Astyanax mexicanus: one gene and its partners. The protein of the gene in region 2 purifies or fractionates together with the protein of the main gene of each other region. This does not show direct contact. Links are inferred from orthologs where the notes say so. Each region holds a gene or a part of one and is shown on either strand. Other genes may lie near its edges.

What was found.
Region 1: the proteins of marchf5 (region 2) and dnm1l purify together in Homo sapiens (affinity purification with western blotting, with the first as the bait; 3 studies listed by BioGRID). This does not show direct contact. The link is inferred for Astyanax mexicanus from reciprocal best matches to the Homo sapiens genes MARCHF5 and DNM1L.
Region 3: the proteins of marchf5 (region 2) and mfn2 purify together in Homo sapiens (affinity purification with mass spectrometry; 5 studies listed by BioGRID and IntAct, counting the BioPlex papers as one, with this or other methods). This does not show direct contact. The link is inferred for Astyanax mexicanus from reciprocal best matches to the Homo sapiens genes MARCHF5 and MFN2.
Region 4: the proteins of marchf5 (region 2) and mfn1b purify together in Homo sapiens (affinity purification with western blotting; 4 studies listed by BioGRID, with this or other methods). This does not show direct contact. The link is inferred for Astyanax mexicanus from reciprocal best matches to the Homo sapiens genes MARCHF5 and MFN1.

The regions. Positions count from the first base shown.
Region 1 is NC_064417.1:36,154,262-36,161,502, reverse strand, and holds the start of dnm1l (dynamin-1-like protein), read right to left. Parts: upstream 3,022-7,241; 5' UTR 2,883-3,021; coding exon 2,781-2,882; intron 695-2,780; coding exon 550-694; intron 1-549. Other genes in the region: dnajb9a (dnaJ homolog subfamily B member 9a), read right to left, coding at 5,724-6,154, 7,060-7,241. UniProt on the Homo sapiens protein: Functions in mitochondrial and peroxisomal division.
Region 2 is NC_064414.1:41,275,233-41,282,396, reverse strand, and holds the start of marchf5 (E3 ubiquitin-protein ligase MARCH5), read right to left. Parts: upstream 3,005-7,164; 5' UTR 2,664-3,004; coding exon 2,620-2,663; intron 1-2,619. Other genes in the region: cpeb3 (cytoplasmic polyadenylation element-binding protein 3), read left to right, coding at 7,032-7,164. UniProt on the Homo sapiens protein: Mitochondrial E3 ubiquitin-protein ligase that plays a crucial role in the control of mitochondrial morphology by acting as a positive regulator of mitochondrial fission and as an important regulator of immune response.
Region 3 is NC_064419.1:19,263,742-19,271,640, forward strand, and holds the start of mfn2 (mitofusin-2), read left to right. Parts: upstream 1-4,882; 5' UTR 4,883-5,298; intron 5,299-6,737; exon of another isoform or gene 6,738-7,301; intron 7,302-7,899. Other genes in the region: plod1a (procollagen-lysine,2-oxoglutarate 5-dioxygenase 1), read left to right, coding at 743-868, 1,087-1,212, 2,706-2,861. UniProt on the Homo sapiens protein: Mitochondrial outer membrane GTPase that mediates mitochondrial clustering and fusion. Mitochondria are highly dynamic organelles, and their morphology is determined by the equilibrium between mitochondrial fusion and fission events.
Region 4 is NC_064423.1:30,687,653-30,695,158, forward strand, and holds the start of mfn1b (mitofusin-1b), read left to right. Parts: upstream 1-4,487; 5' UTR 4,488-4,597; intron 4,598-6,166; exon of another isoform or gene 6,167-6,301; intron 6,302-6,437; 5' UTR 6,438-6,472; intron 6,473-6,577; 5' UTR 6,578-6,588; coding exon 6,589-6,703; intron 6,704-6,792; coding exon 6,793-6,928; intron 6,929-7,386; coding exon 7,387-7,506. Other genes in the region: trappc10 (trafficking protein particle complex subunit 10), read right to left, coding at 1,763-1,823. UniProt on the Homo sapiens protein: Mitochondrial outer membrane GTPase that mediates mitochondrial clustering and fusion. Membrane clustering requires GTPase activity. It may involve a major rearrangement of the coiled coil domains.

The DNA of each region.
Region 1 (7,241 bases), on a different chromosome or scaffold from region 2:
GTAGATAACTGATTATCATTACTGCACCCCTGTAACAGATCAAGAGAGAAAATGCTCCTTTCCCTCCGAGCTTCTTGTCTTATTGCGCATAAAAACGTGAGCACGAATTACAGAAATCGTTCACTCGAATTACAGAAATCGTGCGCACGAATTACAGAAATCGTGAGCACGAATTAAAGAAATCGTGAGCACGAATTGCAAATCGTTCACTCGAATTAAAGAAAACGTGAGCACGAACTGCTACATCGTTCACTCGATTTTATTATTTTTTTATCCACGGCCCCTCCCAGGCTCCGTAGATAAAGGAGAGGAATGTTTCAGAAACTGTTCTAATGCTGTGTGGGCAGCTTAAAAAAAACAGCAGAGTGAAAGCACGGCATTCCTTTTGTTGTGACAGGTTGCTGCTCACAAGTCCTGGCCTAACCCCTACTGCTCTAACCTGAGACAGACAATGGGAGGGTGACGCATTCGGCTCATTCAGAAGCACACGACACACCCACACGCGTGAATAACAGACGAGAGATCAGGGAGACTGCAGGGAGAGAGTACCGTTCTCATCACTCGTCTTTCTGCGGTCCTCTGGGTCTACGTGCACCAGCTGCAGGATGAGCGGTCTGCGGGTGACGATGCCTGTCCCACGGGGCAGGAGGTCCCGGCCCACCAGACTCTCCAAAACAGAGCTTTTCCCACTGCTCTGTAAACGAGAAGATCACAGTCACATAAAAAACACTCTGACCAATGCTGACAACACACAACAATAACACACAAATGAGGTACAAACCACCTTTATTCTAACAATGGGAAGTAAAAATTGTGTAATAAAGTGGGTAAGCTGTCCAAATGTTATTCTGTTTGCGGGTGATTAGCATAAACTCTTGCTAATTTGTTTGCAATCTCTTGCAGTAATTATATATACTCTACATACATTTTCGCACCTCACACATTTTTGTTTTAAGCTAAAGCCCATTTTTGGGTGTTTAAATAAAGTAATACATTGGCTTTAATCATGATATTTTATAGCAGTTTATTATTTTGGGGGTAATTTGACAACAAAACATCTACTTTTTTTTGTTTATTTTACATTTGGTTTAAACTTGATTCTTTTCACAGCCACTCAGATTCTTATGTACACATGCTACCTGTTATGTAACTCCACACCCTTAAATGGTGCCAATGAAACCAGATGATCAATGTTTTTTTCACTTCAATTGTCCCATATTTGCTGGATGTATGAAAACATTCTCTATTTTACTAAAAGAATACACATAACCTTGTATTTTAGTAACATGCTAAATTAGATATGCAACAATATGGAAACTAATATGTGCATGTACATATTTGGTCATTCAAAGCTAATACAAACACTAAAACACAGAAATCAGTACTGAAACAGGACCAGGATGAGCAGTAGAAAGAATCATTCATGCTATTCTGGAGTTTAAAAATCACAAAATTAAATATCAGTGGAATCTAAACATGTCAAAAAAATGTCCAAATGCCAATTTATTGCCTTTGTAGAGCATCATAAAAAAGCCCATTTTTATGTGTGTAGTTCTCAAGGTCTGAGGCCTCAGACTTTTTTTACCTTTGTATTTTATTGTTCTCAGCAGCTTACGCTTCACATGCGCTCATATTTCACAACAGAAAAAACACAAAATGCAATTTTACTGGCAGAAATCCAGCTATTAAGCAGCCCAGACAGCTTACTAACACTTCACTGTTCTTGTGGAGCAGCGGCTCCGGTGTTTGGGTTCCTAGTTAGACAGACATATCCTCTTAACTGAGGAGCGAAAGTCCAGTTAGCCAAAATAAGACATGCCTTTAAACCCATTACGATAATAGACTGAAGAAGAGGATAAACTTTCACTTCTCCTTCAGGTAGAAGCTTTGGATGAATATGGCTTTCTGACACCATTATAAAAGGATTGTACACTTGAGACTTTAAATTGTTGTACAGTAAAACGAAAGTAAAGTGAAGAAATATGATATATGAAGTATATAATTGCTCTAAAGCACAGAAGATAGACTTTAAATTATGTCTGTTCTATCACCTATTTAAGAAATGTGGACCTTTGACTTGTGTTGGGAATGTATAAGGTAGCAACATTACTGCAGTGAGTACAGAAAAAAAATCTTTATCTTTAGAAATAATTTATTGACAACGTAATGTACGCATATATGTATGGTTAGGTAAATTAAATCATCTTGTTATAGGAAAGCTGTAAACATTAGCAGCCTTTTTGTAAAGAATATACTGAATAGTGTAACTTACATCTATTGTAGTTATGTTATCTCTATGTTTACTATTTTAATATTTCCCTCTTTCATATTCTTTCTCCAGGCTACATTTATTTTGGATATCATATAAATAACTAAACAGTAAAAGTACTGGTGTATCTACTGCCAGTGTGCAAGAATTAAAACGAATTTTAAAAAAGAACCAATCTACTCAGAAAGACAAATAAGTTAGCTGACTAAAGTTAAGACAGTCATATTGACAGCCAACACAAGTCTTCCTAGGTTAACTGTTAGCTAGGCTAGGATGTAGGCAAGCTAGCTAACGTCAGCTTGCCGCATTATGTGTAGTAAACAGAAAGGGCTCTTTGTGTATACAAGCTTAGCACTTAAACATTCACACTGCATAGTTAATTATATTATGTAAACTAACCAGCTAACAGAATAACTGGGGGAGTATTTAAATCACCGCAGTGTTCACTGCTGTTAGCCTGCTGCGGCTAACTCCAGTAAAATCCTATCAATGGCTAGTTAGCGTAACTTACCTGCGTTCCCACCACTGCGATCTGCGGCAGCTGGATAATATCCGCGCCCACTGTGTTAAACACGTCCTGCAGCTTGTTAATAACAGGAATAAGAGCCTCCATGGTTCAGGCGACCGCTGCCTGTCTAAATGAATGGAGTCGCTACTGTAGAACGGCTAAAAACAGCACAAAGTCATCCAATGTCCCTCACGGTGCCACCATTTAACAGCCCGGCCCGGGAACCAACTGCGCACAAATTCTGCCGCGCGGCTTCATGGGATTTGTAGTTCGCAGACACAGATCCATGGCCTAACTCCTAGGGAATCCTCTGACAAAAGGAACTACATTTCCGAGTTTCACTCTCACCCAAGAAACCGGAGTGAAACCGAAATATTTTGGGGCATGTTGTGGGATTTTAGACGAAGGCAGACGCAGACAGAAGTGATAATAAACGAATACAAATTGGTTTAGCACTACGTTATTATAACTGCTTTGTTACACTCTGCTTGTGATAAATTAAGTTGACTTTGTCTTGAAACTTTTTTATCATAGTAAGTCTTTTTCTATGTGGTCATTTATATTCACAATACAGACATCAGACTTGGGAAGTCTGAGAATACTGACACACTTAATATTGACACACAAGTGTACGTATTTAGGCTAGCCATTCTTTTGTTGGCCTGATGTTTTGGTTTTTGTTACAGTTACTTCGTTTTTATGTTCACTTGCTGCCTACTATTTTTAGGTGCCCTGGAACCAGATAGTGTTTTTGTTTCAACAATCCCTCATTTGCTAAATCTATGGCAATATACCATTTTATTAAGATAATACACATAATACTGTTTTGTGATAGCATCCTAAATTAGGTACTCACTGGTATGGGAGCTGTGGGCTCATGACATTCAAGCTTAGGCATTTTATTTTAGATCACATAACTCTCAGGCACATGTTTGAACAGTTCAATGTCTATAGATGCTGAATGTGCTCATTTTTCTTGGCAATGAGTATAACACAGGTATTGAAAGGGAGGAAAAACAGTCACCACAACTACTGCATTTCTTACCATTTATTTCACCCAAGTTCTATACATTATACATCTGGGTTTGAACATACTTATTTACATTTCATCCATAGGATTAAGTAATAAAAGTGCTTGATGTGTCAGCTGATACTCCAACTGAACAAGACCAGCTAGCAACAGTGGTATTAACAAGAGAGCTAGCTTATAATATTGCACAAAAACAAAGTTATCCCAAATGAAAAATGAGGTAACAGGTAAGAACAGAGCTGGACCCGACACATTTATATCAGTAATTGGTACTGAAGTGATCCATGCATATAAGGTGGTTTGGAGACTAATCTACAAGTGAAAGACAGTCTCAGGCAAATGCATAAAGCGACACAACAGATTTGCTTTGTTTTAGAAGTGTTTCTCACAGACTGAATTCAAGTGCAGCCAAAGCTTCGGAAGAACTACGGTAAGCTTTTTATAGAACCTTGTTGTAAAAGATGAGCATTTTAAGCATATGCCTTCACATTTTCCTTTTCCTATATTGCTTTTAACAAGCAAAAACTACACAGCGAAACCCCCTAAACTTTAGTTCAAAATGATTCTGACAGAAACTCGAAGCAGTAGCTCCTGTAACAGGTAATAGATCACCTGCTTATTATGAGAAGACCATCCCCCCTAATGAGGCAACCAAAGACGTGAACTTCAATCCTAAACTTATTATTCTTCTCAAACCTTGAACATCTGTTTACAATTAATCTGAATTCCCTTCAGAACTTTGAAAAAGGCACTGCTAAAATCCATGAAACAGTAAGTACTAAAACTCTAAAGTAACTGCCAATCATAATTTATTTTGTGTTTTTAAGCATTTATCAGTATGTATTTTTATGGGGGCTTTATATGTTCTGTCTCGAACACATCCATCTTGAAGCTAATATTCTATAAATTATACATTACTCTTTTTGGATCTATTTGGGTTCTCTGAGCCTGTCAGGCTCACTTAAGACATTTTTGGTGTAGACATGAGCTATTTAGAGTGACAGGTCAAGTTGTGACTTCACCGTCTTGCGACATTCTGAGTAAGGACCAAAGAGTTTAACTGTGACTTTGAGTGAGCTATTTCTTTAAAACCAAACCTAGAAAAAAAACCTAAGTCAAAAAGTGGACGAACTATGATGAAATTGTCTTTTAAGAACTTTGGATCCAAATAGGTTTTCTCTACTTGCATTGGGAAACACAAACAATATATTTTAAAATCACTGCTGCCATGCCTTGTGATAAACAATGCTACAAATTGTATCCATACTTTTTCTCAGAATGTTTCTTGATTCCCCTGAATTTTGTGATGTTAGTGTTAAAACATCAAAATTGCTTTAAGTAAGATAACACTACTGCACAACAAACATAGTAAAACTGACCAACTATGAGTGACTGGTGTTATTATACAATAGTGTTAAGTTAATTTGCAGACTTTCACACATAGCTTCAATGTGCAGGAGTGTTAGTATACTCATGTAGCCAGTGTGTAGATTTCTATATATTTTAACCTTGTAAACCATAACATTCAGAGAACAAAAATGTTCATAGGACAACTTGTAAACACCAATAAATTTAGCAGTACCTAATATTAGCTAATATTAGGTAAGCAGATATAAATATTAGCATAATGGCGGCTATAGAGTGATGTACAGATTTAGAGGTATACAGGGGAAATGATGGAATGCAAACAACTCCTAACTCTGTTCCTAACAGTGGCATATTCTTTTTAAAGTAATGTCAGTTGCGACCAAATAAAACGTAAAACCTAGTTATTCTTAAACAAAATCAAACCTCGCCCAACACAGCAACGGGTTAATAAATTAATGAAATAAACAACCAAAAATATATAGCTTAATAGTAGCTGAACAGAGCCCAGCTACACAATGGTTGCTGGTAGCTATGGTCCACTTAGTAGCTCAGGAGGAGGTACAGTCTGTGTAGGTGGTCACCATATTCCCCCTTCTCTGAGTCACAGTCCTGCAGTGCTGTTTCGCCGTGCCGTGAAACCTGCTGTCAGTCCGCTTGCTGTGTCTATCAAATGTAAACATTCTCTCAATGTCATCAGACAGGTCCTCAAAGACACCTGCACCAAAACCCCCCTGGAAGTGCTTCTTGTGGCGGCTGTGAGCCTGCTGGTGGGCCCTGAAATGGTCCTCAAAGTGACGCTTTGGTCGGGCGTGCCTGTTCTGGCTGTAGATGTCAAAGTCTCTGAACATCTCGTCAAAGTTAAAATCGAAGGTCTGATGGAAGTACTGGCCTCCCCCTCTCATTCCTTCACTGGAGAAAGCACCGTGTCCTAACTTGTCGTAATCCTGCCTCCTTTTTTCATCCGAGAGTGTTTCATAAGCTGAAAAAGGCAAAAGGAGCAATGCATTAGTTTTTTAGAGTTTTAACAGACATGTAAAAATGGGCTGTAATGCACTAATGTAACTGTTGATATAAAGGCAATACAGAGTCAGTTGCGCTCAATTAAATAAAAATATTTTAGTAAAAAAAAGGGGGGATAAGAGCACTTCCCACAGAGCAATAAAAAGCCACTAAACTCTTTCATATATAGTCTTGACATGCATTACACATTTTTCTAAAGGAGCTCTCAGTAACTTTACCTCATTCCTTTAGGGATGTCCTGATTAAGCTTCATTTTTTTTTACCATATTAAATAACATAACCCAATCTGACTGGCCAAACTGACCAATCACCTCCCAGTTCCTTTAAAAATTGCAGTCAAAACACTCAGTGTGTGTGTGTGTGTGTGTGTGTGTGGATAGTGGTACACTGATAGCTATAAAGATGTGCTGGGAGTCTATCTCCCCTTATGGATATAATGAAATAATATTTTTCCTGTTGCACAAGTACAACTGAACTGGTGAGTACATAAATACACAAACAACATTTTATTTTCTAAAAGATCAACTAGCAAATATTTTAACTGGTTTTCTGTGGGCTGTTTTTTTTTGCTGCATAATGTCTGCATAATAACTATCTATTCCACTTTCAGTGATTTAGCAGTTATGTTGTGATGTTGAAATGAACACAATATAACTGCTGCACTGCAAGGTATAATGGAGAATTAATATTAGAAGCAGCAGTTTAGAAGTTCATGTATGTTAATGGCACCAAGCATCAGACTTAGATCAGGTTTAAAAAGCAGGAACCTGATTAGATCGGAAGATCCCTACCCTCCATCACTGCACACAATATGTGTTTTATATACTATACTATAACATGCTTAGATGTGTGATGGTCTTTTACCTTCTGCTGCCTCCCGGAACTTCGCCTCGGCGTCGGGACTCTTGTTCTTGTCAGGATGATATTTCATGGCCAGCTTGTGAAAAGCCTTCTTAATCTGACGCTCACTGGCATCTTTTGGAACCCCCAGAATATCATAATAGTCCTTTCTGGCCAGTATCAGTTCTGTTATCATCAGGATGCAC
Region 2 (7,164 bases):
CAGGGGAACAACAAACATGTCGGCTTGTGCATGCTGACCAGACCTCAATCCAGTTATCTGGTTTGTTTTACAGCACAGGGACATGAGCACAGAGCTTCTGGCAAACACGACTCTCAGTGGAAAAAACATGGACAAGGTCAGGACACAGAGAGCTGCCCTGCACCACGACAGGGCAAAAAAGAACCACAGCAAATCAATAGCTCTGTTGCTGCGTTTTGCCTAAATTTAGACGAACCAATATTAAATAAATTGGAATGGAAAAGAGGCTTTTGCAGCTTCAAGGTTACTGAAGGGTAGAATTCAAGCTTACAGCTAGGGTTGGAGGACATGATTAAAAACCATATATCTCAATATGCTTAAGAGAAATGGCAATCTAAAATACAACATGATGCAAACTATACTCTCTGTGGTATTTCTCTCTGTAGACTTTGCTAACTGTACTGAATTATGCTGCTTGAGATTAAATATATTAAACCTTTAAATTAAACAACAATATGCAAGAATCAATATACTTAAAGTAAAAGAAACAATGAACTAAAAGTGAAAGAAACATATAGACTAATGTGGTAGAGCAATAAAACCAGATTACACAAATATGCCTTGGGTCACGTAGCATTACACAGTTCTTACAAGCGGTATCCTGTCTGCTTCAGAGTTACATAGCTCAGTTAGCAATGTGCTAACTGACCAGAGCAGCAATGAAGACAATATTCTCTTTATTACAGTCAGTCGAACATAAATATTTAAATCTCCAAGTAAAATATGAAATATAATGTTAGATAGACAGACAAAGTTTGTGTCCTGCTCCAAACTCTCCAAACTTCATAAGAGCAGCTACATATATGACATGGCAAACCTGGTCAGGCTTCATTTCAAGGTCATAATGAAACTTTGTTGCTAGGTGTAACCTGTAATCCTTTTCAAGCACAGATCAATGGCACATTTATCTTGTTCAAAATATTAAAGGGGCAATAGCCAGTCTTTCATAAGTTATAGCAGGTGCCCGAAAAATCACTTGATAAAAAAGTCCTTTGAAAATATTGGATGGTAGGTTTGATCTTTGTTTAAATATATGATGGCGCTGATGCTCTCAAAGTGAAAAAAGCTACTTTATCTTTAAATAAGCAGCATTATTATAAATTTGTAAGACATTTCCATGCTTTACGATATCAACAATGAGTCTTGGTACCAGACTGTGGTCCAAACTAGCTCTAATATGAATTACGTGGTCAACAGGTAAATTAAAAATTATTGAACAGAAACATGTATCCATGTCAAATCTTACAGCAACAGTGATAACCCTAAAACAATTATCAAGCAATATCCTCCAGTGAGGTTTGAAGAAAGCAAAATTAATAAAACAGCCCAATTTAAAAGACATGAAGAAGATTTGATCTTTCTATGGAACACACTGAACCTAGATCTGTCCTTAGGTGTGTCACACTACCCAAGTTTACTGTTAAGCTTCTTAATGAAGATCTATTTTAAACACTTGTTTTCCTGACTGTAGGTTAGCTGCTTCACTTCTCCTGCAAAATTTCAGTTTTTATGTGGGAAGCCAAAGGTTTTGGCCTGGTATACCTGGTATACAATGATGAGATAAGTAAGTATGCCAGCAACAATAGGACAACAGACAGACAGCTACAGCTGGTGTGGGTGTGTCTGCACGTGGACTGACAGGAAAGATCATGCCTAAAAAATTGTCCAAGTTAGTTTAAGTAAGAATCATATTATGAACATTTTTTTAGTGTGGGTCTACAGAAAATAAATTTGGCCACTTTTACTAAAATAATGATACCTTTGCTTTCTGACTTTCTAGGCAGTTAACCTACCACTAGTTAACTAGGTCAGCTACCTTTTTTTATTATACAAAATCGGACATCCAAGATAATTAAAACATACAACCAAAAAGGTTTTACAAGCTAAACAAAACAGTTATACTGACAACACATCTCATATGCTAAATAAACAAATTAAATTTAACAATAAATATTTTACCTTTACCCAATTTTAATTTGGGCAGACAGCCCAATTTTAATTACACGGTAGATATTACGTAGGATTTAAGTGTAACTTACTTCTCTGATTTATAATTAGAAATACAAAACTTAAGGGAGTGATCAGGCTTTCTTCCAAGAAATCTGTGTAAAACGAGAATTCCAATATGAGATCCCTCGTAGCATTATTTTTATTTTGTTAAAGAATATTGCCCTAAAATGTTCATTACAACAGTATTCACCATTAAACCTAGGTCACCTAGGTTAGCTAAACTACATGGCTTGATTAGCGTTACATCATTTAGCGAGCTAAGAACACGCCTCTCCATGTTTCTCTGTCACTGCTGGCAAGCAGCTAGCTAGCAAGCTAACCTAGCTTAGCTAGCTTACTTAATTTAACCTTAGCTAGCTAAACAATACAGCTATTTTTACAACAGTCCAACAGCACAGAACACGATACATAGTTAACTACATGCGTACAAGCTATGTAGGTTAACTAATTAGCTTAGCAAGCTAGATAGCTAGCATAGCCAATGTGTCAGCCAGCCAGCTAACGCTAGCTAGCTAGATAGCTGTCTCTCCTGCAGGTCAGTCACCCTCACCAACGCGTTCATTCACATACCTGTCCAACATCTGCTGAACAATAACGGCACTCTCGTCCGCCATGTCTTCTTAAGTGTTCAAAAGTTTCCAAGCGTAGAAACGAGCTGTCGGTTATTTAAATAAACAGTCTGAACCATCTGAAGAGCGGTTAGCTGAGGTTAGAAAGGCCTGAACGAGGACGAGCCGAGCCGATACCGAAACAACCCCAGCTAGTTAGCTAAAGCTAGCTAACCCAGCTCCCTACATACAGCTAAACCCCCTACTACACTATAAACACGCCTCACCGACTAAAACTCCACATCACTATTAACCTAGCTAGCTAGTACTTTCCCCGTTATTAATAGTTTCGTGCCGTGTCCGTTTGACTCCATTTACTGCTCTTTGACTGCGAGGTGTCTGTCTCGGGGACGCGCACTGCGTCACCAATAACAATAAAAACCGACGCGCGCGGCGCTGAGCATTCTGGGTCATGTAGTCTCAGTCCTCACTCCTCTCCTTCATATCAGCAAGGATAGCCAAAACAATATCAAATTTATATTCCAGCTAACCCCGGCAGCCTGGCGCTCCCAGACTCAGAGGCACTGAGCCTCATTAGGAAACAGAAGGAAGACACAGCTATGAAGATACACATATGGCTGCAAAACACCTCGTACTGCGGTAAGTTAACGTTAGCTAACCAAGACACGTTTAACACGTTTCACTAAAGCTTCTGTAAAGAGAAAGAAGGACTGAAGAAGTAGGGAGGCTAACTACTATGTTTAAAGGTGGCAAGTGAGTGATTAAGCTATTTCTAAAGAGAGGGTGTCTGTTGTGTTAGCTAGTAAGCATATGAAATAGCAAGGACATTATATTTGAAATAAAAAAAGGGATAAGGATGAGTCACTCTTCATTTTAATCTGAATTAAGTTAGATAATTTCAGTACCAGATTGGTTTTAACACAATGAGGATTTATTTTTCACTCTGTGAAAGATTATTACAATTAAAAAATACATACAGAAAAAGCCTATTATGTTTAATTCTGCTTTTGCATTTTGCAAATAGGCAGGTTAATAATGTTTACTTTCAATTTCACCAGTGAGGACCTTTTTAAAACTCTGTGAAAGATTATTAAAAATTAAACCCATAATTGCTTGATGTTTATATCATATAAACAGGCAGTAATGTTTACTTTTAGTTTCAGATTGATTTCACCCCAATGGGAACTCACTTTGTGTGAGATTAGGAAAAAATGATAAATGCAGCCTATGATTGGTTTATTGGCCCTCTGACTTTATTTTAATTCAATTTGTACATAATTTAGTTGGCAGAACTGTTTTTAATTTGTTAAACATCTCAGTGGGAGATTATTAAAATTGTGCAATCAACCCCATGCTTGGTTGGTGATTGGCCTACTCATTTCAATAATGCAGCTTTTGCATTGTGTAAATAGGCATAAGTGTTTACTTTTAAGAAATTTCAGATTAATTTCACCAGTGACAACTTTTTTTTTACTCTGTGGGGTTAAAAAACAATAAAATAATAGCCTATAGATTGGATGTGCATTGGCCCACTGTTTCTCTTCTTAATTTAGCTTTTGCATCATGTAGCTAAATAGGCAGTATTGTTTACTTTCAATTCCAGATTGCTTTAACCAGTGAGTACATTTCACTTTGTGGGAAGTTTTTAGTTAAATATATTTATAGCATTGTTTTACTTTTTTTATTTAGTTTTTAAATTAACATAGTTAGCGAAATAGGCAACAGAGTTGGCACACTACAATGTGGTGGCTATATTTAAATGGTTATAACATAGATAGCATATGGATGAATGTTCCTATACAAATTGTCATATTTCTTGATAAAATACGTTTATGTTTACAATAGTTGTATATTGATTGTATTCCCTTTTTTTACACATTAAACATTAAGCTGTGATCAAAATATCTAAACAACTAAAAACTACTCACGCTGGAAGTTAAAACAGGGAAAAAAACTACATTTCCCAGAAGCCTCTTCTGCATCATCCATGCGCCGCAGTCAATCAGCTGTTGAGGCAACTGCTGACTCTTACCTCGGTTATAGCAGGGGAGCTCATTTGTCATATCAATACCGAGACGAACCAAACTGAAAAATAATAGCTTTTATTCACAGAATCCCCCAAAGGTGAAACGATAAGGTAATGTCTGTTTGATGTACGCAGTCTACGCTGGCAGAAACGTGCATGTTGTGGCATATGGGTTGTGCTTTCGCTATGCTATCGGTGCAGTGGAGGATTAGTGTGTGTGTGTGTGTATGGGGAGGGTGAGGGGGTGCATGGTTTCACCCCTTCCCATAGCCATAGCCCCCACATATGTGTATGTGTTTAGCTGGGTTACTTATCCTGCTGTATGAGCTTTGACGCATAGGCCGGTGTAGCTAAGCTTCTTTCCCGGGACAGGGAGTGTGTGGGTTGCTCTGACAGCTTGTCCCACTGTATTGATCACTTAGTTGACCTTGAATAGGCAGTTCTTATGCAGCAACATAGAAAAAAAGCGAGGATTAACTGCGACAGCGACTCTACAGGAATGTTTGTTTGTTAACTATGACAGGGATCGTTTGCTGTGCCGTTTCTGTGTGCCAGGCTATATTAAGCACGATGAGCTTGCAGGGAGTGTTCACTCAGCTGCAGCCTGCATCTCTCGGGCTGTTTAAGCTAAAACTGTCGCATAGCGCACTTGGCCTGCTATTTTCTACTGGAAGAAGACTTTTGATTTGATTTTATTATTGTTTTGTGTATTTTGGTGATTAGCACAGCCTAATCTACATGCTTTTTAAAATATTTCCCATGCTTGTTTTTTGTTAACCTTTTGCTGCAGTGTCTAATTTGAGTTAATTTAAGTGTCTTTGTCCCCTTCATCTGGTCAGGGCTTCGAATACTTTAAAGATGAAACCATTATGCAGGGAATGGTGAGAATGATCACTGTAAACTAATTCTAGGTCAGAACTGATATGCTTTATGAATGCAGCCTCAGGCTTAAAAATATACTGTAACGTTACATACATAAACACTTTTGACTTTGATTCAAAAGCAGTTCTTAACAGGTAAACAGGTAAAGTCTTAATAATTAAAGGTGAATTGCTCTTTAAAAAGGAGCAATTGCTTATGCTATCATACACTCATATCAGTCTCATGAAATGGTTGAAATAGTTGTATATTGCAGTTATTTTGGGATTAATATAAACATCCAGACAAATTAATTATTATGACAGGCCTAATTTGGAGCATTTCTGTGGGACCATTTATAATTCATTGGCGCAGTCATTGACAGCACTAAATTTAATTTAAATTATGGGGTAAAAAAGAAAAACAGTGAAACATGCAAATACAAATTAACTTTGATATTATTGTGCGTGTTAACTATTTTCATAATTAGTGGGCATGAGGTATATTACATGATTATATAGTTGTAAGATTTAAAACTTATTAATGTATTAACGCGATTTCTCTGACTAGCCAGAAATCTTTTTGAAGAGTCTGTCCAATGGTACAATGTCTAAGGGACATTACTCTTGAATAATCCTCTTCTGTTTGGTTTATGGTAACTGATAAACTGGGAAATCCTTTTTGTATGTTAAATATCCTTAGAATTTCTCAGTTTTAGCCAGATAACTTGAGCCCAAAGGTAAGGACTGTCCAATAGGGCAGTAAGAATGTCCTTCAGCCCTTGGACAGGCCAGGACAGGCTAGGTAAACTCTTGGCAAAATTTTGTGAAACATATGAGACAGAAAGGGAAAGTGTGTGATAATGCTGGGTAGAAATTAGTTAGTTCTAAAATGTATAGGAATGTGGCCGTTTGCAGTAATATCGCCAAACACTTTGACACGATAAAAAAAAACTCATTGACAAACTTTTATAGTTTTTTGTTTGTTTCTACTGAATGTATGAAACTACTATATATACTACTATATACTGTTGCAGTAGTATATGAATAAAAAATGTTGTTTTGTTATGTCGCTAAGAGTATCATTATCACAAAAATACCCTGAAAAGAGAAAGTATCAAGATATTATTTTAAGGTCATATTGCCCACATCTACTTAGGAACTTACTTTTTTTTCTTTATTTTTTTCCAGATTAGTTTTGTGTGTGTGTGTTTTAGACATATAGACTGGTTTTAACCTTGTGGAAGGACGCAGCTGTATTTATTGACGTATGCAAATGAGTGTAGGGGTGGTCTTTATATATAGGGAGGAGAAAGAAAAAAAACAGGAACAAGAATCAGTTTCACATTGCAGATCTGGAGTTCCGGTGGAGGGGGAAAAGAGACGTGGCGTAGGAATAGGTGAATATCGCTACTTGTATAAAGCTGTTTTCCTGTTTTGTTGACGTTTTGGAGATTAATCTGTTCTGAAGGAAAGGGGGACCGGCCGGGAGGAACCGGGCTGCGGTTTGTGTAATACCGGCTCTGCTAAATGGGCGATCCCGGCTCGGCTCTGCTCCGCAGCGATAACAGCAGCAGCAGCAGCAGCAGCTTTATTAACAATAATTTCTCCTTCTGCTCGTCCTGTCCTTCACTCAAACGCGCTCACAGCCCGACGAATGTGG
Region 3 (7,899 bases), on a different chromosome or scaffold from region 2:
TATAATCAAAAGGAAGATGGGTGATCACAATCCATCAAACCAAACTGAACTGCTTGAATTTTTGCACCAGAAGTGGCATAAAGTTATTCAAAAGCAGTGTGTAAGACTGGTGGAGGAGAACATGCCAAGATGCATGAGATGAAAACTGTGATAAAAAAAAAACAGGGTTATTCCACCAAATATTGATTTCTGAACTCTTAAAACTTTATGAATATGAACTTATTTTTTTTGCATTATTTGAGGTCTAAAAGCTCTGCATCTTTTTTGTTATTTCAGCCATTTTTCATTTTCTGCAAATAAATGTTTTAAATGACAATATTTTTATTTTGGAATTTGGGAGAAATGTTGTCCGTAGTTTATAGAATAAAGCAACAATGTTCATTTTACTCAAACACTTACGCAAAATCTGAGAAACTGATTTTTTTTTTTTCAGAGCTGTATTGTTGCACTTACAGTATTACTATAAAGCATGGTCATTGTGGTGCAAATAATACCCTATTTTACTTTGTGCTTTTCAGGTCAATGTGTGCAAAAAAACAATATGTTTTATGCTACAAAATATTTAATACACAATGTATTTTGTCATTTGTGTGTTGTGACACCCATACTGACAATTAAATCACAATATTATACGGAGAAGGAAAAGCCTGTTAAAGTCTGTTAAGCAACCTAAATTGGTGTCACTGTAGTTAACAAATAACCCAGTCATTATTTAATTTACCTGACTGTCTTTTCCCATCAGTGTATCTCCTACCTCAACTTTGTTGTGAGGTACAAACCTGACGAGCAGCCCTTACTCACCCCACACCACGATGCGTCCACTTTTACTATTAACATAGCTCTCAACAGCAAAGACATTGACTATCAGGTAAATGAGTCCTTGGCTCAACGGTGGCGCTTCGAGCTGAGACTAAAGATGCTGTGGCAGTTGTAGCGATGCAGGGGGAGTGGCTAGCTTATTTCCCCTCTTTTCTCCCCTCAGCTTCATTCTTCTGGAATGCCTGAAGGGTGGTCTGCTCTCTTGTGTTTTGTGTGAGAATGTTGCATGACGCTTTTTGCCTCTCTTTGTCTGTTCTCTCTTCACAGGCTCTGTTTGATTTGGCGTTTGTTGTTAGATATAGACCCGATGAACAGCCCTCTTTAAGGCCACATCACGATGCGTCCACTTTTACTATAAATATTGCTCTCAATCAAGTGGGAATAGATTATCAGGTGAGTTAGAGCCTCTGTGTTTAAATTGCACAATGGTTTGATTTGTGTTTGACATGGGCTTTTTTTGTTTGCTTACCAAATAGATTTTTTTTAATTAAGTATCTTATTAAAATGATGGAGGTGCAAAACTTGGTTTTATAAATGAACATATTGATGAACTAAAAAACAGGTACTAAAAACAACTACATTTAAAATAATAACATTTCCCCCTTTCTTTACATTGACAAATGTAAATAATATTTGTAGTGTTTAACCTACAGGTTCGGTTACCATGCATAGAACCAGCATATCAGTAAATTTAAAGGAAACATTAGCGGCCTGTATTGATTTTGGCATAAAACTGCATGTGAACTTCAATATATGAAGTATTAGTGAGTTACAAATGGGTAATAATACTTTACAATTTACAGTTGAACTACTATCTTAGTAGTACTTTTAAGGAAACTACTTAGTACTTAGATCTAAATATTTTCCACACCCCCCACTCAAAGGACTTCTATTGAATACTAAAATAAACTTTGGCGCTGTGCATTAGTCACACTGTGTGTCTGAAAATAATAAAAACTAATTTTATTGTCAAGAAAATTCACCTATAAGCAATGTTGTATGTTTACCTTCATGTCTGGCATTGCTTTATCTTCATACTTTGTAATACTTCTCTCCATGTTGGTGAAATCTCATATTATTCTCTGCTTCTTCCTCCAGAGCTTTACACATATTTCCTTGCATGTAGACATTTTAATGCTTTACAGTTCTTTCTTACAAAATTAAAATGTTCTTAACATGTGGGTAACTTTGTACTGCCTTGAGTACATTTATGTCTGTTCCCTTAATATTCTGCTTTAGGGAAACATACCTGTTACCTGTTGAGCTTTAAGACATATGGTTTATCATTTAAAAGCTACAAGTGCATTAATTGAAGTATATGTGTAGAAAAGATTGTGTACAGCCCATATTTAGCCCACATTCATAACTTGCAACATTGTTTAGACTGAAGAGGTGATGTGTAAGAATAGGATATTTTATTCTGAATGTGGAGATTGATATTTTAATGTTGAAGAGTCTAAATATATATTGGAGCCCAAGCAATATGACAATAATACCACAAATAACTCAGCATGGTCAGAAATTCCAATAGTTTAGCCAAAGATTGCATCATTGACTGATATGATTGGTGGCCAACTGTACATTGACATATTGTTTATAATAAACCATTGTAATAATTTAGGTAGTATAAGTTTTGTTATAATAGTTTATATGTTAACTGGTTTCTTCTAATCAGCACTTTTTTGTTCTGTGCATAGAAATTGTGTTTTTTCTTTTTTGATGAAAGACTATAAATTATATCTCAGATTTTTTAAAAGTCAACAGGAGATGTATGTAAATGCTGGTTATTATGCAGACATTTAAAAAGTATTCAATAACAGTGGTCAGTGACAGCACCATGTTAAAACCTAACTCATGTCGTCTTATCCATCCGTTCTCTTGTCCAGGGCGGAGGCTGTCGATTCATTAGATACAACTGCTCCATACGGGCCCCCAGGAAAGGTTGGGCCCTCATGCACCCGGGCCGCTTAACACACTACCATGAAGGCCTTCCTACCACATCAGGCACCAGATACATCGCTGTTTCATTTGTGGATCCTTGAGTTGATCTCATAAGGAAGCCAATTGTTTAGAAAAACAAAACCAAACAGGATGGTTATATTGTAATATGGGAGTTTTAGCAGGACCAGAGACGCAATCATTTTGACTTTAAATTGAGAATCATTAAACGATTTGATAGAGACTGTGCCTTACATGCCATATAAATCTGTAATGTTGTACTAACAGAACTGTATTTAGAAGGCCAAGTGAACTCAGGTTTACTTTAAATGCAGTAGATGGAGATGCAGTGTGTACCTCTATGAAAAAAATGCTTTTATTTATTGATCCATTTCCAAAGCATTTACACCAAAGGTTTAAGTGATAGAAATTATTTGCTCAACTATTTTTTTTTCTTGGATAACAGAATCATACATCAGGCTTTCTACTTGATAATGTTTCCTAGAAAAAGGTGCTACTGTTTAGAGATGGGCTGATGTAGGTTTTTTCTTCAGTGCTCTCTTAAGTCATAATTTTATATGTCCGTTGTTTTTATTTTAAAGGTTTGTTTTCTTATTTTTTCTTGTCAATAAATGTTACTTTTTCACTAAGCTGGACTGCTATGTTGTCTTTCTTTTTGTAAATTTTGTCAGATTATGTCAAATATCTTACAGTATATCAAAGTTCTTATTGGCAATACTGTTCAATTGGCTGGCTTTTTTTCAATATGGCCAAGAGGTTAATTACAGTCATGCAATTCATCCCTCCCATCTGGAAAGAGACTGTAAACTAAATGTCAGATCACTGCTTTAGAACCATATTTTACATAACTGATCAAAATTTTCTGCAGCAGGACAATGATCCAAAACACACCAGCAAGTCCACCTCTGAACTTAAAAAGGCAGTTCATGCTCAAAAACCCTCCAATGTGTCTGAATTAAAACAATTCTGCAAACATGAGTGGAGGCAAAATTCCTCCACAACGCTGTAAAAGACTCACACAGGGCCATGTAAGTTTAGATTTTTTTCTCCCTTAATAATAACACCTTCATTTAAAAATAGCATTTTGTGTTTACCTGTGTTGTCTTTGACTAATATTTAAATTGGTTTGATGTTCTGAAACATTTAAGTGTGACAAACATGCAAAAAATCAGGAAATCAGGAAGGGGCAAACACTTTTTCACACCACTGTAATTCTAGCTTGTAGCTGCATTCTAAACAGCCTGCAGTCAAGGTTGGACAGGTCCTAGGGTGGACTGAAGTAAAAAAGATTTCTGATTAATCAGGCAGGATTCTGAGGCAGAAAGACACCCAGTCATGTCTGAACCGAGGTCTAATAATCAAGCCTTCTGTTTTATTTGGCTAAAATCCTAATGGCTAATGACAACACAGCTAAACGCTAATATCTAGCAGTGAGCTGCATTATATATATTTTCCTAAGGACTATGTAAAACTAGTTGGCTACTTTCTCCAGTATAAGCTTTTTTTTTTTTTTACTTGAAAATTATTGCATAGTAATAATTTTATACCAAAAAAATCTATATATGAGATATATGAGCAACACTAGAGGTTCTAGGGGAGGTTCAGATGAAATCTGATTGGCCCTCTGAAGAGCCCCTGTCCTGTCAAAATTGGTAAGGAGATATTTATGGAGTTAGTTTTGTACCAAATGTTTTACACAAAAATATCAAATTATATACATACAAAAGCAAATAAATAAATAAATAAAAAGCAGAAGCAATCAAGAGATTCCAAAAGCAGAAAAAAGAAAGCATAAGATGGCAAAATCCACATAGAAATGGTTTTCATATATATTTGATTATTATTTTTGTTGCAGATTTTATTTTTTGTGTAAAACTTTTGGCACAAAATTACCTCCATTTTTTTTTATTACATTCAAGTGTGAACGTGGGGTGACTGCTGATCACTGTTGTTGCTTCAGCTCTAGTATTCAGTGTTTCTTGCACTGCTTCCTATCTAGAAAATAAAGTAACAAGGGAGTAGGGATCGAGTGTAGAAGTGAAGGGAAGAAAGCAATGTTATTGGGACGCGGCCTTTCTGCCTCCTCTCCTCAGAGCTGTGTCGCATTCGGATGATGTGAGGTTAATGCACTTGTAGAAGGAGACCGACCAGTTAACATTGTTACATAATAAAACTACAGCTGGATTCATAGAGTAAACAGTACGATTTTAATCATTTTGGCTGCATTAGAGGCAGTAAGGTGTATTAAATTACCTGGGTATAATTAACTAGCAGAGCTAGCTGTGTCCTGACCGCTCTTCCCTTCTTTCTGGGAGCGCTGACGGAAAGACCAAACTGGACAAGCTAAGCTAAGCTAACCTAGCTAGCCACCTAACGTTTACTATCTTTATTACGCTAAATTTCTTAAAACTTACGTACAGTTTCGTGGATAATCTTGGAAATAAAACTAGCAACTGGCTGTTTATTCGAGGACAGTGGAACCAACATGCTTGAGGACTTGTTATAACCACGCCTTTCTTGGTAAGTTGCTAATGAGCTAGCTAGCTTAGCTAACTTGCTCATATACACACTTTACTGTATAGCTAACTAGTTAAATTCAGGGGTAGTAAAACAGATAATGTACTTATAAAAAACGTAATTCCATGCTACTTTATAACTACTTTATAAAGCGCGCACTTATTGTGGCACATTAGCTAGGTTAGCTAACTACCTGGTAAATTTGCTACTATCAATACATTTATTTAATTAGGATACCCAGCTAGCTGTTTAGGTAGAGTAAAAATCCGATAGTTAACTACCTGTAACGTAGCTTACAAGTGAGTAGGTTCATCATTTGCACAGCATGCCCATGAGGCTCAGGTAGCTAACTAGCTAGGTTATTTACTCTACAGCAGAATAGCTACAGACTAAAGATGGACAATGTATTGATATTTTATTATATCGTAATAATAAACCTTATTGTATCGAGATATAGAGGTAACGTTACCAGAATACCACCACAGTATCCTTTACAGGAACTGTTTTAAAGATTTTGGAGTAACATCACTGTGGCCACGCCCACAAAGCACCTTAGGAGTTGACTGGCAAATATTTCACATCATTTCAGAAATGTAGTATTTTCTCTTCAATAAAAGGATGGCCATATACAGCTCTGGGACAAATTAAGAGACCACTTCTCTGATTTTGCTATTTTTAGGTATCTGTTTGAGTAAAATGAACATTGTTGTTTTATTGTATAAACTATGGACAACATTTCTCTCAAATTCCAAATAACAATATTGTTATTTAGAGCATTAATTTGCAGAAAAATGAGAAATGTCTGAAATAACAAAAAATGCAGAACTTTCAGACCTCAAATAATGCAAAGAAAACAAGTTCATATTCATAAAGATTTAAGAGTTCGGGAAATCAATATTTGGTGGAATAACCCTGTTTTTTATCACGGTTTTCTTGCATCTTGGCATGTTCTCCACCATTCTTACACACTGATTTTGGACAACTTTATGCAACTCCTGGTGCAAAAATTCAAGCGGTTCAGCTTGATTTGATGGCTTGTGATCATCAATCTTCCTCTTGATTACATTCCAGAGGCTTTCAATTTGGTGAAATCAAAGAAACTAATCATTTTAAAATGGTATCTTATTTTTCCAGACTGTTTGCAGCAGTTGTGATTGGCTAAGCCGTGTTGGGAGAGCTGAAAGTGAGCGTTGTGATTGGATCAGTTATCAGTAGTCAACATCTTATTAAAGGGATCAGCTGTCCCTTTTCCCCAATTACTGCTCCTTCACCTTATTTCGAGGTGGGAGAGGAGAAGTAGCAAAAGATTTTGGACACAGTCTTGGTTCTTTAGCTTGAACCCTCACGGTATCTGTGGGCGTGTCTGTTTGTACAGGAGCACCGCCGCTGTGCGGGGCCCTCTGTTGATGAAATATGATGTAACTTTTGGACGGTTTTACTAAAACTGGTGGCGTTCACTGAGCAGCACCACGGCTTTTATAAACGGAACTGGTTGAAGAACCAGTGTAAAAACTCAGATAAATAAGTGCTGGGTGTTGTTAGACAGGACCGGCTAGAGCTACACCTCTGTGGAGGAGGCGTGACCCTCACAGCGAGCAGCGTGACCGCTGGTGGATGTGGGAATCAGTGTTTCAGCGACGACACGAGGAGGTGAATACACCCCCCCTCACCCAGCCGAGCGGTGTGGTCGGATTAGTTCCACGGATAAGAGGAGCTTTGGGACGGGCTGAGTGTGTAGAGCAGGGCTGCTGTCTGCTGGAGCTGGAGTGCGTGTGACATTGAGCGCGAGCGGGACTCACTGTAGCACACGCGCTCTGAACATGACTCTGCAGGCTGAGTTAGCTGTCAGGCTAACATGAGGTCTGTCTGCGCTGCGCGTGTCTCCGGCACGGCTCTGTGAATTAGGTGAACGGTCACGGCGGGACCACTGCGCTGGATGTCCCGTTTTTACCCTGCAGGATACATATTTTAAATTTTTTACTTCAAGGTTGAGCAAATACGGAAAGGTAAGAAGGTCATGTAGCTAAAATCTCGTATTTTAATAATTTTTTTCCATTTATAATGGAAAAGCCTTATGATATATTTAGGTTAGCTAGGTTAAATAATATAGATATACTTTTTGCCAGCCTAGTTAACGTTTACTAAATTTATCAAGCTAACTATTTAAATTAATATAAGTAACTTAGATACAGTGTTTTCTGTCAAACAGTTGTAACTGTTAGCTAAAATGCTTTATACTATTCAAAAAAGATATATTACAGTTAAAGATGAAGATTAATGTATTCTGTAGGTAATATAACTAGCTATAATCTTAACAAAACATTCAGGACTAATAAAATAGGTTATTTTAATGTTTAACTAACTAGTTAGTTAAGATTTCCACTTCCAATAAAAGTTGAAGTAATCTTTCTGTGTGTAAGGTTATTGGGGAGTATGGAAAATTATAAATACTTGCTTAAAATGTTATTGGCATCCAGTACAAAGACTGTAACTTAATATAAAATGGATGTTTCCCCCTGTCACAAAGGGACATAGAGCTAAACTGAGAAACTGGTAAAAGTTGTGCCTAGGTGTGATTATTATTATTATTATTATTATTATTTT
Region 4 (7,506 bases), on a different chromosome or scaffold from region 2:
TTTGACAGTCATGTGTGTTTACTGCTTTAAATAAAACTGAAGACGCAAAAGCAATATGAGAGAACAGCATCCAATCACAGTGATATTGCTGCAGCACCTGTGGAACAGTGAGGGTTAAGGGCCTTGGCTCAAGGGCCAAATCACTATGGCAGTGTGTTTAACACTGAACCACTATGGGTTGTTCACATTTTGATCTAACTATTTAAAAACAAAAAAAGACACTATGGCAGTAAGAAAGCACAGCACAACACAAGCATACTGTTTCACTTAAAAAAGAAAGCCAATAAAAATATTTATGAAAGTAATTTAAGTTAACTAACAAACAGCTACAACTTTGGCACAGAAAACATTAGAAATAGTGCCAAACCTAAAATTAAATAACGATTGACTGGCATCAGTCTGGCTTTCTAAATACAAAAACAAAAGGACCTCAAAAACACAACTTCTTAAAACACAACAGAGGCCAATCTGAAGACCCTTCAGCTCCTGCCCACTTGTCCTTATTATGTTTTGGTTTATATGGTTTGCCATCAAGAAAACACACTCAAATGTATCACGTTTTAACATGTTCACTTTTAAACTATATGCTTTAAAATAATGTAAAAAAAACTGAGTGAGCACACATAACAAAAGAAGACCCTTTAACACGTGCCCACAGGGTGCGTTTTGGTGTGGACGGTTTCCAATCAAACAAACCAAACTACATTCTTCGGCATGCATTTCTTTCTTTTGGAAAAGAATGTAAATTGTTGTCCACAGACAGCTCTCCTATGACAGCAACCAATGGGCAGGTGCATATACACATGCTTAGACTAAATTAAAAAAAAGATCACTGCAAAAGACAGAAAACGACAGTAATGAGGGAGTATATCCAGAGCATACCAGCTTACTGTAACACAGAACTAAGTGCTGAACATGCCTTTACTACAGAGAAGTGGAAGCGAAAGAACGCATTTCCCTTTTCTCTCATCCGTGGAAAACATAGCTACACACCCCAAGCAGCACGAAGGCAAACACACACCTCCTTCAGTAAACAAGACAGCACGCTGAATTCACAGCTTATAGGTTATATAGCCAGTCTTTTACACATAGAATCACCAGGTAGCTATCCACACCTGCTGTACTGTTATTTAACCTGCTAAGCTGATGTAGAAAATGTAGCTAAGAAATTAATTTCCACCTTAAATAGTGCAGCAGAATGTGGCTAGCTACTGCACTATTTAAGGTGGAATGGAAAATGCCAACACGAAGCAGGCGAGTTAGGAGTGCAGTTATGTGAATTATGTATTAGTGTATTCTCGCCCTGTATTAAAATTGTGATGTATAAACTAACATATAGTCTTTATCTTTAGATATTTTCATATTCATTCAGATTCAGAGCAGCAGGCCAGGGCTGTTATTCCAGCTCAGCAGCTTCAGTAACGCTAACGCTAGATTAACAGCCCGGCGGTTTAAAGGCACTTAATGCTAATAGCTAACTAGCTAGTTTGCAGGGAGGTTAACTAGCACCTAATTTAGCTTGCTGGTTGGCTACGTGTTTAGGGGGCTGCCTGTAGGTGTGTTTGATTGTTCTACAGTACAATAAAACACTAGTCACAGTTTGTACATATGTATACACGTATATATCTGTATGTGTGAGGGTTTCTCTGAGGTGGCAGACAGACTCTGCAGCAGCAGCAGCGGCGGCGGCGGCGGCTGCAGCCACTAGCTTTAGCTTAGCTTAGCTCCAACTGCTAACAACAACCTATAGCCGCGCACTCACACGTCACTATGGGTTTGTTCTCCATCGTGTAGATGATGGGCTTCTCCTCATGGGGCTCCATGGGCTCGAACAAGCTCGGCCTTAGTCCACCATGAAAACGTCCGGGCGGTCAACCGAGTTAAACAACCGGGGCTCTCGCTCTTACACTCGCAGCGTCGGTGAGGCCGCTTCGCCTCGCCATTTCCTATCTGCTGACAGGGTGACGATGTCCGGAGTGAGCGAGAAGGGAACGGCGGGTGCGTGCTATTCGCAAGTGCTCGCACCCTATTCCCTACTCTCTACGTCTTACTACGTACTACTCCACTACCTCTTAGGTTTATTTATACTTTATTGAATTGATTTTCTTTCCAATAAGAAATTTACATGAAACATACATCTCAAACGCAATATCCAAAACATAATACACACATTAAAAACTTTACCTTTGAGATTCAGTGAGGCTTTCTTTAAAAAGTCCATATTTTATTGCCTTTAGGTTTCTAATTGATTTGGTATAGGACATATAGGGCTAATTATTTTATAGTTCCATTTTATAAGATTTATTACAAGGAGTCTTTCATTTGCAGTTAGCCATGTTATGTCTCTCATTTTTTCAGATAATATTTAATTACATATATTTTCAATTGTCATTTGAAACCATAGTACCATAGTTTATTTATACTTTATTAATTCTTTTTTTCAAGAAGAAATGTATTTCAAACATACATTTTGAACACAATATCCAAAAACATAATATACACATTATAAACTTTACAGTATTATTACCTACAAACAATATCAACATTTTAAAATGTCCATTTGTCTCCTTTTTGCTGATAACTAACTAGTCACAGTCTGTAAGTTCAACCATGTCTGATTAAAAACACTTCCACTTGTAATATTTAGATGTTCTATGGCAAACTTACATCTTGTTTTCCATAGTTTACATTAAACCATGCAAATGATCAACCAAATAATTTCCCTTTAATATTCTGTAAGGCTTTCTTCAAAAATCCATATTTTATTACTTTTAGATTAGATAATAGATTATTGTTATTTTATCACTAATTTGATTTAATTTATCCCATACTTCCTTTAATCTATAACATTCAAACAAATAATGCATCCAATGTTTCTAATTGTGCACAATTTTGTATAGGACATATAGGTTTAATATTTTATAGTTCCTTTTTTATCTGATTCTTTAACTGTTAAACCATTATATAAAACCCTAGTACCATTATTAATTTCTTTTATTATTTTTTCTTTATTCGAGTCAAAAACCCAATTTATTTTATGTCCTTTTATTTGATGGTTGGTGCGGCGCAGTGGATAACACCTCCACCTGCTTGAGAGCCTCCACATCATGTGGGAGGTTAGGGTGACTATACTGTTATACACCATGGGCAAGACACCTAACACTACATTGGCACACCTCTGTAATAGAAACAACCTTGTAAGTCGTTCTGGATAAGACTATCAGCCAAATTCCGTAAATTGAAATGTACAAAGTCTGAAAACGGTATTTTATAATAAGGTATTGTGTTTGCCCAATTTCCCCAAATAGAGATTAAGCCTAGACTTAGAAAACACAACATTTAGAGTGGAGATTTTTAAGGATTTTTAAGGACATTTTTAACATGTACTGTGTGACTTACAATGGCTTGTAGCCTAGTCCAAGTTTTCCACTCCCTATTATAAATGTTATATACTGATCCCTATCTCCACTACTAATATAGTCATGTACAACTGAAAAGACGGCACCCTATTCCCTACACCCTATCGTTACTCCCTACATGTTCTTCAGTGCGACCAGCAGAGAGCACCAACACGTTATCAAAACCCTGCAGCAATACAACAACCCTTTGCACTCTCATATTTTAGGCAAAATATTCATATAAACCATCTATAACAACCCCCCCCCTCCCCCCACAGGGCATTGCATTTTTCCTAAGCAGCAATTATTGTGCTTTTTTCACCTTTTTCCTTTAATTTGAAACAAAAATGTATTTTTTATAAATGTATTTATTAAATGAACGTTGGGCGTTGTTTCAGTACATTAGAGACGTATGTTTTGATATCTAGGAATGCATATGAAGTTACTTAACGCCAAAGCTTTTCTGTTTTAACTAAAATTATTACATCATTATTTTTTTGCAATTAGAAAATGTACCCAGGTACCTACGTAAGTCACCAATATGTAAGATGTAATTCAACAAATACATTAAAATAAATACAATAAAATAAAAAAAAATATATATATATATATTTCATTTTTATAATCTTCAACATCAAAAGATTACATTCAACCAAAAAAAATAATAATAACATTAATTCAACGTTTTTTTTTTGCTGTCAGGGTAGCTGTCCTATTATCCCTTTAGTCAGTAGTGTCTGATTAATTGCAATAAAACAAATACTCTGGGAATGCATATAAAATTAATTGCAATATGGTTAACACCACTGGTTTTCTGTTTTAATAAAAACATTAGACCATTATCTTTGCAATCATATAATATACAGTAAAGTATAATATACAAGTAAAGCAGGGTATGTTGAATCAACGATCATTTTTCTATGTTCTATAGTCATAAACATTAAAATATGTAATTAAACAAAAAATAACGTTAATTCAATGGGGTTTTTTTCAGTCCTTTCAGTCAGTAGAGTCTGATTTATTACATTAGTCTGATTGTTATCAGATCAGGTCAAACTGTTACCAGAGCTCTGGGACTTTTATTTTGAAGCAGCTGCTGTGCTGGATCTCCACGCTTTTGCGCTGAAGGGTCAAATATTTCGTGTGTGTGTTTTATCCAGCTAGCATGACACGAGAGGATATAATCAGTCTGTAAATCGGTAAGGCGTTTATTTATGGGTTTTATTATCATATATATGATAATATGCGCGTGTCGATATAGTGTAATTAGGTTTAGCAAGCTGTGTTTTCGCTGTTTTCGTTGGTTATGAACTGAAATAAAGCCGCAGCGCTAAATAACCCCGTCCTGGCTGTGAGGCTCCGACACTCTATGCTTTTGTATAGCCGGGTGAAGTGGGTATTATCGGTCTTATTGATGATTGTTGGCTGATTAATAACATTAATAATAATTAGAGGAGTGATTATTCTTATAGGAGTTTAGCTAGGTTACAGTAGCTAGCTTGTTAGCTAACTAACTCTAGCTCAATAAATATTTGATTAGATGCTAACCATTAGATTAGCCATCTTCAGACTGTTTGAATGGAGCTCAGAGCGATTAAAAACTCAACTACACAAATCACAGTGGGCGGTGGAAATCCTGTTTCTGCTCTGTTTTGCATTTTGTTGAGGTTTTGTTTGCACGTAAGTTAAGGGTACCTTATCTTACCTGGTTTGTGTATTATTGGTGTTTGCCTCTCAACTTTTAAGGGCTTAGTACTGTGTAACTTATTTATTTAAGCTATAAGATATTTTTTGCTAGGGAAAAAATGCTCATTAGTTACGATTGAATGCATTAATACTGGTTTGTACTTGATTTTAAATATACTGACAGCTGATCCTTTTGGCTGTTTCTGATGTTTGTCATATGATATACCTCACAGCTTGCTGCAGTTGTAACTAGCTATGTGAATGTTAGGTAAACAGATAAGCAGTTAAAATAGTTAGCCACTGCTTTAAATATGTAGCCCAAGTTTTTGTATTAATTCATTTTTATTTTTCAAGGCTCTTAATATGCTTTAATAAACAATCCCCCGTTTAGAAATACTTGAAAAGTTCTTGTTGTTGAAGGTCTTTGCATATTCTTCTTAGTAGAAGGCCTTTATTTCTGCGATACAGTGTCACTCTTCTCTTTCAATGTGTTTTATTTAATTTTACGATTTTGTACAGTGTACATTTAAGACTAAAGATATTAAAGCTATACAGGAGCACATGCTGAATTATTCTGTACACAAAAAGGGTTACACAAACCAGAATATGTTTTATACTTAAGATTCTTTTAAGAAGCACATTTATCTTTGAGGACAGATCTGCACACTCTTGGTATTTTAACACTCTTGGTGTCTTCATGAAGGAGGGTTACCTGGAATAGTTTTCTCAGTGTCTTGAAAAAGTTCCTGGAGGTGCTGAACAACAGTTTCTGTTTCATTCACCATTTCAGTCCATCAGGTTTAGATCAGGGGATTGTTTGGTTTTATATGTACTTCCATATGTGTCCCTTAATTGCATTTATGTCTGTAATATAAAGCTACAATGTAAAAAAAAAAAAAAAAAAAAAAAAAAAAAACATTTTTTCTGTTACTGTGTTCTTGGGTTGTTTTGAGGTGTGCTTCAGATTATAATCCTGTTGTATAAGATAGTTCCACCAATTGTTGGTTCTTTTAAACACTTTTAAATACTTCCTTAGCCCAAAGCAACTGTTTTCAAAACTCACCTGGCTTGTCTTTATGTAGAGAACTGGAGATGGAAAATGTTGGGAGTAAGATTTTTCATCAAGATCATGCTTGTGCAAGCATCCCTGCTCAGTGGAACAGTGCACAACCCTTTTGACTCGGCTAAAATTCATGCAGATTCTGATTAAATAATTGGTAACTAATTGCCTTGGTATTACTTAAATATTATAAAAGAGTATTTTGGTACTATTTAGTAGTTAATATGTATAAATATGTAAACTGTGTATAAATGTTAAATATTAATAAGGCTGTGGTGTGCTTGCTTTTAAAGGTTTGGCACATCGTAACTATTTGGGGACCCTTAAGGTAAGCAGTTAAAAATTAAAAACAAAAAATACTTAAAAAAAAAAAAAAAAAAGCTAGACTGCTATGAGTAATGTAATGTTTTTTTTTTGTTTTTTTGTTTTTTAGCTAATTCAGAAATGGACCAAGAGGACCGCTCTCCACTAAAGCACTTTGTAGTAGCCAAAAAGAAGATAAATGATGTCTTTGAGCAGCTGCTGGGCTATGTCCAAGAGGGCTCAGAGTTTGTAAAAGGTGATTTAAAGTGATTTTAAACTATAGTTTATTATAGTTTTACCTGTCTTGTTTTAATTTGTTCTAATTCGTTTGTTTTTGTACATTAGAAACATGTCAGAATACGTCGCTGGAGCATATTGCAGACAGCACTCAGCTGCAGGAGATTGAATCGTATACTGAGAAACTGGCGGTCATCAAAGAGGTGCTCGCTCGCAGGCATATGAAGGTGGCCTTCTTTGGCAGGTGATTTAATGGAAGAATTTTTGAGTTTTTAAATCCAACTGTTATTGATTGTGGTGTACTTAAAAATAAAGGTTGTCCTTTAAATAAACCATTTGTTGTTCTACAAAAAATCATTTAAATAAAAGAGGTGGACAGTGGACAGGGCAGTGAGTGTAATTAATGTGGCTGGGAGTGTCTGGCTAGACTTGTCCATGCAAAAAGACAAGAAACTTAATTCATTGTAAAGATTCTTTACAAATGCATCTCTATTATAAATTTGGCTCATCCAAAGAACCTTTTATAGCACATTTAAATTGTTTTAAGATAAGTAGTAGGTGTTTTTTGATTTATTATATCTTCTATTGTTTATGGACCCTGAACATTTTTTTAAATGCAGGCTCTTATCTTTTATTTCTGTGTGGTTGTGGATAATGTAGAGCTGTATCTGAGTGTTTATGCTTGTCTGAATTTCCTCACAGAACGAGCAATGGAAAAAGCACTGTTATCAATGCCATGCTGCGGGACCGGGTGCTTCCCAGTGGCATCGGACACACTACAAACTGCTTCCTGAGTGTTGAAGGCACTGATGAAGACAAGGC